Daphnia pulex: one gene and its partner. Each later gene encodes a partner of the first gene's protein in a complex. Links are inferred from orthologs where the notes say so. Each region holds a gene or a part of one and is shown in the gene's direction. Other genes may lie near its edges.

The links.
Region 2: serine/arginine repetitive matrix protein 1-like (region 1) and BUD13 homolog share a complex: the UniProt entries of both Homo sapiens proteins name them as parts of the minor spliceosome. The link is inferred for Daphnia pulex from reciprocal best matches to the Homo sapiens genes SRRM1 and BUD13.

Annotation. Positions count from the first base shown.
Region 1 is NC_060027.1:2,459,758-2,464,291, forward strand, and holds the start of serine/arginine repetitive matrix protein 1-like, read left to right. Parts: upstream 1-1,726; 5' UTR 1,727-1,875; coding exon 1,876-1,899; intron 1,900-2,058; coding exon 2,059-2,148; intron 2,149-2,233; coding exon 2,234-2,362; intron 2,363-2,675; exon of another isoform or gene 2,676-3,493; intron 3,494-3,694; coding exon 3,695-3,865; intron 3,866-3,936; coding exon 3,937-4,534. Other genes in the region: SH3 domain-containing protein Dlish-like, read right to left, coding at 462-510. UniProt on the Homo sapiens protein: Part of pre- and post-splicing multiprotein mRNP complexes. As a component of the minor spliceosome, involved in the splicing of U12-type introns in pre-mRNAs. Involved in numerous pre-mRNA processing events.
Region 2 is NC_060019.1:12,606,317-12,610,107, forward strand, and holds BUD13 homolog, read left to right. Parts: upstream 1-1,442; 5' UTR 1,443-1,465; coding exon 1,466-1,578; intron 1,579-1,680; coding exon 1,681-3,073; 3' UTR 3,074-3,126; downstream 3,127-3,791. Other genes in the region: glutamate carboxypeptidase 2-like, read right to left, coding at 1-96, 158-280, 344-635, 712-832, 898-958. UniProt on the Homo sapiens protein: Involved in pre-mRNA splicing as component of the activated spliceosome. As a component of the minor spliceosome, involved in the splicing of U12-type introns in pre-mRNAs.

The DNA of each region.
Region 1 (4,534 bases):
CCCCTTCCGTGGGCGGCGAATAAAAATGTTCCAGCATCTTAAGGAATTTGGTTTTTTTACCAGTTTTAAAAAGAAAAAGAGTTTTTGCATGGCTCGAGGCGTCGTCGTTTCAACCTGGTCGTTTCAAAAAAAGTTCTTTGCCTTTTCACTGCGTGTGTGAAAAAACAAAATCCCCCCCGAAAAAAAGAAACGGAAACGATAACGAGCACAGACTCGAAAAAAATAGCAAAAGGGGCTTTTCTTTTCTTTCTTTTTTTTTTTACCCTCCTTTCACGACAATTAAACATACGAAGAAGAATTCTCATGTATGTGTGTGGATGCTCCGAACGAAAAAACCTTCCCGAGAACAATGGCCGCCCTCCTGCTATATGCATATGCACGCCTATAGGTATCTAGTCCGTCTGCTGAACACTTTTTTTTCAACCTGGTATACGTCTGGAAAAATTGGACAAGTTTGTTACCTTTTTTCTTCTTGCCTCGGCGTATCCTCACTGGACACAAGAAAGCCATGACTCAGGTGTGCACCAGACACTCAACACACACTAACACACGCACTATTAACTCGAAATCGATTGGTAAAATGCACTTGATTAGTTTAATTTGTTTGACACAATTAGCAGGGCAATGTCGATTGTTGTATGTTCAGTCGTCAGGTGAGAATGAGAATTGACACAGCAGCAGAAAGAGTCAGCCTGGAAGAAGGCCTGGTTTCTGCTTCTGTTCCATGGCCTCCGCCAATACCCACTGGCACTGCACACCTTGAAAAACAGTCTCTGCTGGTAGATGGGAAGAAGAAGAAGAAGAAGAAGAAGCAACAACTTTACCTCCCAATCCCCCCTCTAACCAATTCCATCCAACCAGGTTTTCTCAAATACAGTTTGTTGCCTTTATGCTCCAGGGGCTCTTTTTCTTACCTTCTTCTTCTTCTTCTTCCTTCATTCACATTCTTTCCCTCTATATGCACCTTTATTATTATATACCTTTGGGCTCTTCTTCTTCTTCTTTCGCTGCTGCTGCTGCTGCTGCTAATTTATTTCTTCCCTTTTCTTGAGGATTGGAGTTTTTTTTGTTTGGGAAGGAAGAGACGCTTTTTACCTGTGCACACCGCCGCGTCTTATAGCCTAGCGGTCACGTAAAAGGTGCGCGCATGCCAGCTCAAGCTAAAAGGGATGTAGTCAGTCAACCAACAAGAAAGCCTTTTATTTTCTTAATTCATTTTTTTTTCTTCTTTTCAACCATTTCTGTCTGTGGTTGATTTATACTTTTTGATGGTTATCTTATTACACTTAAAAAAAAAAAGCCTTTGGGGACAAAGTTGCACCGGTCGTACAGTTATTTTATAAAGGCAAAGAGAGTTCAAGGAGCTCAAGTCTACTTAATAAGCAGTGACCGTTTGCTACCTACTCGCAGGATCAAATGACAAAACAGGTTCCTTGCAATTTTGGCTTCAACTGAAAAAACGACATTTTTCTTATAGTCAAATTAACCGGTTGGACGCGCCATGATTTCGGGATACATTATTTCGCGTCGATAAATTGAGAGGAAACCTTAGATTGGCATTTTCCCGTTATTCGTCCAATTGATTTTGTCATCGAAGAAAATTAGTTATGCGTAGCGTAACCCATATTTGATATGTTTTGTCCTTTTTTTCTTTCAGAAGCGCTGGCAGGAGCTGGCGCTATGCATATGCAGCAGTCGATTTATTTTTCTAAACTGGCAATGCTGTTTCCATTTTCCTGACTGAAGGGACAAGAGGGAAGGCGATCAATTGAGTTAGGGGTCCTCCATTTAAGACTTGAGTTTAGCCCGGCTTTATTCTCCCATTTATTTTTACTTTTATAGAATTACCTCGATTTGAGGTATTTTTCTTTCACAATGACTGATGCCGGTTTCTTCAGAGTAAGTGTTAATAATTACCCAAGTTAGAACTATTATTCCCTTGAATTGTTTGCAGCATCTCGACACGCCAACTCGGTCGTAAAATTCTTGCTTCATCAGTTGTGAAATCTGTTTTGTTAACTGATGGGATGCATTGTAATATTTGAATTCTTTCAACAGGGCACCTCAACTGAGCAAGACAATAGATTTAGTGACAAAGAGAAGAAGCTTTTGAAGACTATCAAATTTGCTGAAAATGTGACTAGAAAGGTAAATTATTGATCACCTGTGCAACTTTAACAACATCAATATGAGTTACATGTTAATATTCATTAATGCATGTTAAAAAATTCAGGTGGATATGAGCAAAGTTAAGTTGGAAACCATCAAACCATGGATCACAACCAAAATTACAGAACTTATGGGAGGAATTGAAGATGACGTCCTGGTGGAATATGTTTTTAATCAGCTCGAAGCTGACAAGGTAATATCCTTTTAATCTCAGCCGTGTAGATTTATCTTATGGGAAACATTTGCCACCAAAGCTTTTCACCAATCATTCTGCTGTTTATCTTATGCAATTTTTTTAATATCAGGCTGAAATAGCCATCACATACTAAGAATGATTGAACGTCAGCTCCTTTGCATCTGGTTCTTGTTTGTAATTTGGTTTAATGTGAAAGATAAGTTATGATTTAAGTTTTCACCACCCAGATGGCTTTGATTATATTTTGTCTGTGCTCATGCTCATCTCAATATCTTGTACACTTTTGGGTCCTGTGTTATGAAGACTTAATGTGGAATTGCATCAAAGCCTTGTTGTCACCATGTCACACACACCACCTTGACATGATGGATGCAAGGATTCTTTCTCGACCGAGACCTGGTCGCATTATTTCGAGGTCTTCTCTTCGAATTGATTCACCTTTCGGCCTGTTCCGTGGACGATTCCTCTTATCGTCGGCCACGATGTCTATGGATTTGGATTTCCAACGTTTCGCAGTCGACCGATGAAGGATTCACTCCTGCGAAATGATGGAATACGGCACGTTCTAAACCATCGAGTCATGAGAGGCAATTCTGGGATCGCCTTTCGCCCAGCCAATGCAACGCCTTCTCCCCCAGTTGATAGTTAACCGCACAGTCGACAACAGGGAAAACTCCTGTGTGGTTAAGTCGGGCTCTGATCGCAGTAGGCCTACTCAGGAATCCGTGTTGAGAAGCTGAGAAGAAGAGATCCTTTCGTCTCGGCCCAAAAAGCAGGACGGTACAGTCGACAGAGATAAGACTCCTGTGCCGTTCGCTAACGTGGTCGAAGCTGCTAGATTTGCCTGATAGATGACGACAGACCATCCCATCTTTAAAAATCACCTGATCGATCGCATCGTGGTGCCGGGGTAGCCATCAGGAGTAGGACTAGTCAGATGACGACCCAATAGCTGGGCGGTACAGTCGACAGGACAACTCCTGTGCCGCTCGCTTCGTGGTCGTCTCTTTGATACCGAGTCGCCGGTGTTTTTATGACGGATGGGAAACTCGGTTCTCCCTCAACGCCCAGATTGGAAAAAAAGAAATAAGAGATTTTTTTCTGTTGTCACTCTGGTCGAGCTCTCAGGCAAGAATAACAAACCAAAACAAACTACGTAAAACAGCTTATCCTTTTAAAGAGCAAACCCCTGAAAGGTATTGCTCGCTTAATCCGCCGAGATCATACCGAAACCTAATCTATTTGTGTCCGTTTACTTAAGTATCTCTTTTCCATTTCGGTTGTTTGATTTTTCTGTTATTTGTCTTTTTTTTTTCTTAAAACCTATAGAACCCTGACCCTCGTCGCATGCAAATCAATTTAACTGGATTCCTCAACGGCAAGAATGCCAGGATTCTGATGACTGAATTGTGGGATCTTCTACTATCTGCCCAAGAATCGTCTGCTGGAATTCCGGAGGTCTTTATGGCACAGAAGAAGGAAGAAATCAAATTAAGAAAGGTATGCAACCATCGGAAATAATTCGCGGTATTAGTTTTGTTTCTATCATTTTCGTCTTTATTGGTTTGCAGGAAGAACAAGATCGAATCCAGGAAGCAATCAAAAAGGCCGACCGGGATCGGCGCGCTGACCGAGAAAAGGAACGCAACGACCGTACTGACAAACGAGCTTCCAAAGATAGAAGCCGTAGCCCCAACAAGGACAGGGTGATCAAGAAGGAAGGAGACAATCCCCGCTCTTCACCTCGTCGTGACGGCCGACGTCCTTCATTGGAGCGTCGTTCTCCTAATCGAGGCAAGGCGTCGCCACCGCCTCGTCGTCGCTCACCTGCCAGATCGCCAGCAAGGCGCTCGCCTCGTCGATCTCCACGTCGATCACCTGTTCGTCGCTCCCCAGCTCGCCGTTCTCCTGCACGCAGATCTCCCGCTCGTCGCTCGCCAGCTAGACGATCACCCGTTCGCCGCTCTCCCGCTAGGAGATCTCCAGTTCGAAGGTCCCCAGCCCGCAGATCTCCTGTTCGTCGGTCACCGGTCCGCAGGTCGCCCGTTCGAAGATCTCCCAGGCGTTCACCTGTTCGTAATCATTCTCCTCGGCGTCCTTCACCACGCCGTTCGCCCGTGAGGAAGTCACCCGTTCGACACCGGTCGGCGGAACGTCGTCGCTCTCCGA
Region 2 (3,791 bases), on another chromosome or scaffold:
GTTGGGATAGACAGATGTGCGCCCTTCCGGGGCGAAATCTTTGGGATCAGAAAAGAGTATCACTCCAAGAGCTCCTCCATCTTCGGCGGATTTCACCTGTAGTACAAATATCAAATGTTAGTAATAATTCAATACATTTTTAAAAATAATTGATTACGATATTGCCACGAAAAATCGCCCCATATCGAGCAATCACAATTCGACCACGAATGTCTATGCCGAGAGATTTCAAGTACTCAAAATCTTGTTTCCGACCATAATTTGCGTAAATGAGTTCCCCCTATGAAATGGTGTAATTAAGTTAAGTGTCATCAATAAAACAACGATAGAAATTTAATTTCACCTCGACAGTTCCGTTAGCTGAATAAGCGTTAAAATTGGGTTGAACTAACGGAGAGAATTCTTCGCTGGAAAAGAGTGGCGTCTGACGTCCTGAGGTGGTGAAGTTCACCTTGCCGTTGGAGTCGAGTAGCGAGACCTGATTGGGGTTGCTCATGTCTGGGTAGGAAAGCAGCACCTTGTAAGGAACCAATTGGACTTCGTCTAATCCTCCCTCGACGAAACGATCGCGCACCCAACTAGCCACTTCCAAATCCTGTGGAGTTCCAGCTAAATTCGGTATACTGCTCAAATATCTGTGACAATCATTTTGGGAGTTAATTAGACAATGAATCAAATTTGTCTTTTGATTAGCGATGATGTTGGACTTACTTGAGATATTCGCCAATATTTGATGCACTGAGCTCCTCCATCAAAGTGGCAGACATTTTCGCCTTCTGAGGCGACACGTCGTCCCTATCATTTCCGATAGCGTAACGACCGATGAGAATTCCTTTGTCAGGTGGAAAGATGAAGTCAAACCAACACATACAGTAACATTTCAAATGATTACGATACCTATGATAAGACAAATTACAGAAGCCGTGCAAATTAAAATCCAGTTGGGTTTTTGCGCCATCGTTTCGCTGCGATCACTTCTCCACACCCTTCCGTTCTCGTTTACTGTACCTCAAATAATAACGACGGTTTGAAAAGAAACAGGTTATTAAATAGCTGAAAATATGACAATGAAAGCACGGGAAGTGCGGGTAGAAAGTCGGGTTCGAGATTGCGTGTTCCATATGCAGCGGCACGCAAATACCTGGACAGTAACTAAGGTGATTTGACAAGCCAACCAGACCATCGGTTGCTTGTGGTTTAACACAAGACAGGTCGCATGCTTAACTGACGGGTGACTCTTGTAAAAAATGTAAACGCCATAGGCAATGAATACATTTCTTTAAAATCGCTATTACATAAATCTATTTTTTTTAAACAATTTTTTTTATTTTGAAAACTTCCCGATAGATGGTGTATAGTTTCACGCGTTAACCATAGGTGGAGCTTGTATTCATATTTCGTGTGAAAGCGTTGACAAACGCGAGGGATTACGGTTTGTAAATATTCCCCTGAAATTATTGTAAAAATGAGTGCTCCTATGAGCAAATTAGAATATCTGAAAAAGTACATGTCCTCTTCGAAAAAAGAAGAAAATAAAGTCAAGAAAAAGAAACTCAGGCCCTTACTGAAAGCCAAAGGGTAAGTCAGGCTTTTTGTGAACTTTAGACAATACACATCATTTTTTAATTTTAACTTAAGCTTTTTCTTAATCTAGTCAATTTGTTTTCATTTACTTATTAGGGGCATCAAGATCGTTGATGAAGAAATAGATTTGAGGAAGATAGCTGCAGGATACGAGAAAGATGAAGACCAAATTGACAACCAAGAAGATGCTCCTCTGGTGGCTGGGGTTGTCGATAATCGTTCCATAGAAATGATAACCAAACAAGACTTTGTGGAAAGTTCAAAGTGGAAGAGACTTGGTGTGGATGAAAATGACAAACCAAAATCCATGTCTAAATCAAGTGATCGAGATATTGATTCAAGTGACAGTCACTTACCAAGGAAAGATTCCACTGCCTTGAAACGACCAATCACAGTGAAGAAAGAAAGACATGATTCAGATTCAGATCCCAGTCCTCCACGTAGAAGACACGATTCTGATTCAGATGCCAGCCCACCTAGAAGAAAGCGCCATGATTCAGACTCTGATCCATCTCCACTTAGAAGAACGAGAAAAGACTCTGATCAAAGCCCACCACGAAAACGTCACGATTCAGACTCAGATGCTAGTCCTCCTCGAAGAACAAGGAAAGACTCGGATCAAAGCCCACAACGAAAGCGACACGATTCAGACTCGGACCAAAGTCCATTAAGAAGGCGTAAAGGCTCCGATTCCGACCAGAGTCCACCAAGAAAGCATCAAAATGCTGACGGTGATCTCAGTCCTCCGCGGCGGAAGAAAAACGTTGATTCCGGTGCCCAAATGCGCATCAAACCAGATCCAGACGGAGACCTCAGCCCTGAGCGTCCTAATAAATCAACATCACGCAGCGGAGGAGCTTCGGAGAAACTGACCAAAACCCTAGATGGAAAGATGGCCGGCCTTCAGACTGGCAGAGCTTTGCGTGAGGAGACTGATGCATTACGCAAGAGAGAAGAGGAAGCCTTCCGCAAAATGGACAAATCACTCACTGGGCAGAACGCCACGACTGCCATCCGAGCTGGCAAGCTGCGCCAAATTGAAGCCAAGCAACAGGTTGATAAAGAAAAAGCCGAGAAGATTGCCAAGCTGCAAGAAGCTTACCAAAAATGGAACAAGGGTCTTAAACAAGGAGAAACGCATTCGACGCAAGTTGCCGAAGCCATTCACGAAATGTCCAAACCGCTGGCTCGTTTCGCCGATGACGAAGATTTGGAAAGGTTGTTACGCGAACAAGATCGTGAAGGTGATCCCATGGCTGCTTACATGGCCAAGAAAAAGGTCAAGAGCGGTGGTGACGGCAAGGGGAAAGCCGCTAGACCTGTCTACAGGGGCCCTGCTGCTGCTCCCAATCGTTTCGGTATACTACCCGGCTACAGATGGGACGGGGTTGACCGCTCGACTGGCTACGAGAAGATGTACTTTGAAAAACAAAACAACGCCGTGGCCCTTCAGGAGGAAGCCTACAAATGGAGTGTATCCGACATGTGATTCCGATGATGAATTTACCTTGACTGAATAAAGCCATGCAATTACTTTTAGTAGCCAATGACGCCTGTCCTTGTTCTTAACATTTCCCTTTTTATTACCTCGACGGAATGGGGCCCATCCATCAACATTCAAAATTGCAGGGTTTTTTTCAGATTCAACGAGAGGCGCGCGGAGGAAATTCCATGCGGATGGCGTCAACACTTTGCACATTTTCCGAGTCGCGACTCTACCAGCAGTTCGTGAAAGTTGCCCAACCCATGTTGTAGAGGAGGTGCGGCTATTCATGAATCGTCCGTCGTGGTTGAATCGGAAAATTCTATCCGGAAGATGACACCCTTTCCGGCCTTGGCTGCCTTCAAATCATTTTTCTTCTGTTGTTCAGCAGCAGAAAAAGAAAAGAAAGAAAAGGCGTTGGGGTCGTTTCTGTTGAGTGTGTCGAGTGCGCTATGGCCAGATGGCGCTTTGGCTGAGTGTGTCGAAAGAGAAGGGAGGAAGGTCACGGCACGAAGTGGGCCGGCCGTTTTCAGGTGTGCCCTGTTGTCCGTGTTGTCTATGTTTCGGGGCTTTCTCTCTTCTCTTTTTTCTTGTGTTTAGTCTCCTCCTTTTTGATTCCCAGTTTATCCAGACCTTCTCTCTTTGCCGTCTCATTCTCTCTCTCTCTCTCACCACTGCTAAAGCCATTGGCCATTGGCTCGCACGACGAGACGAGAAAACATCA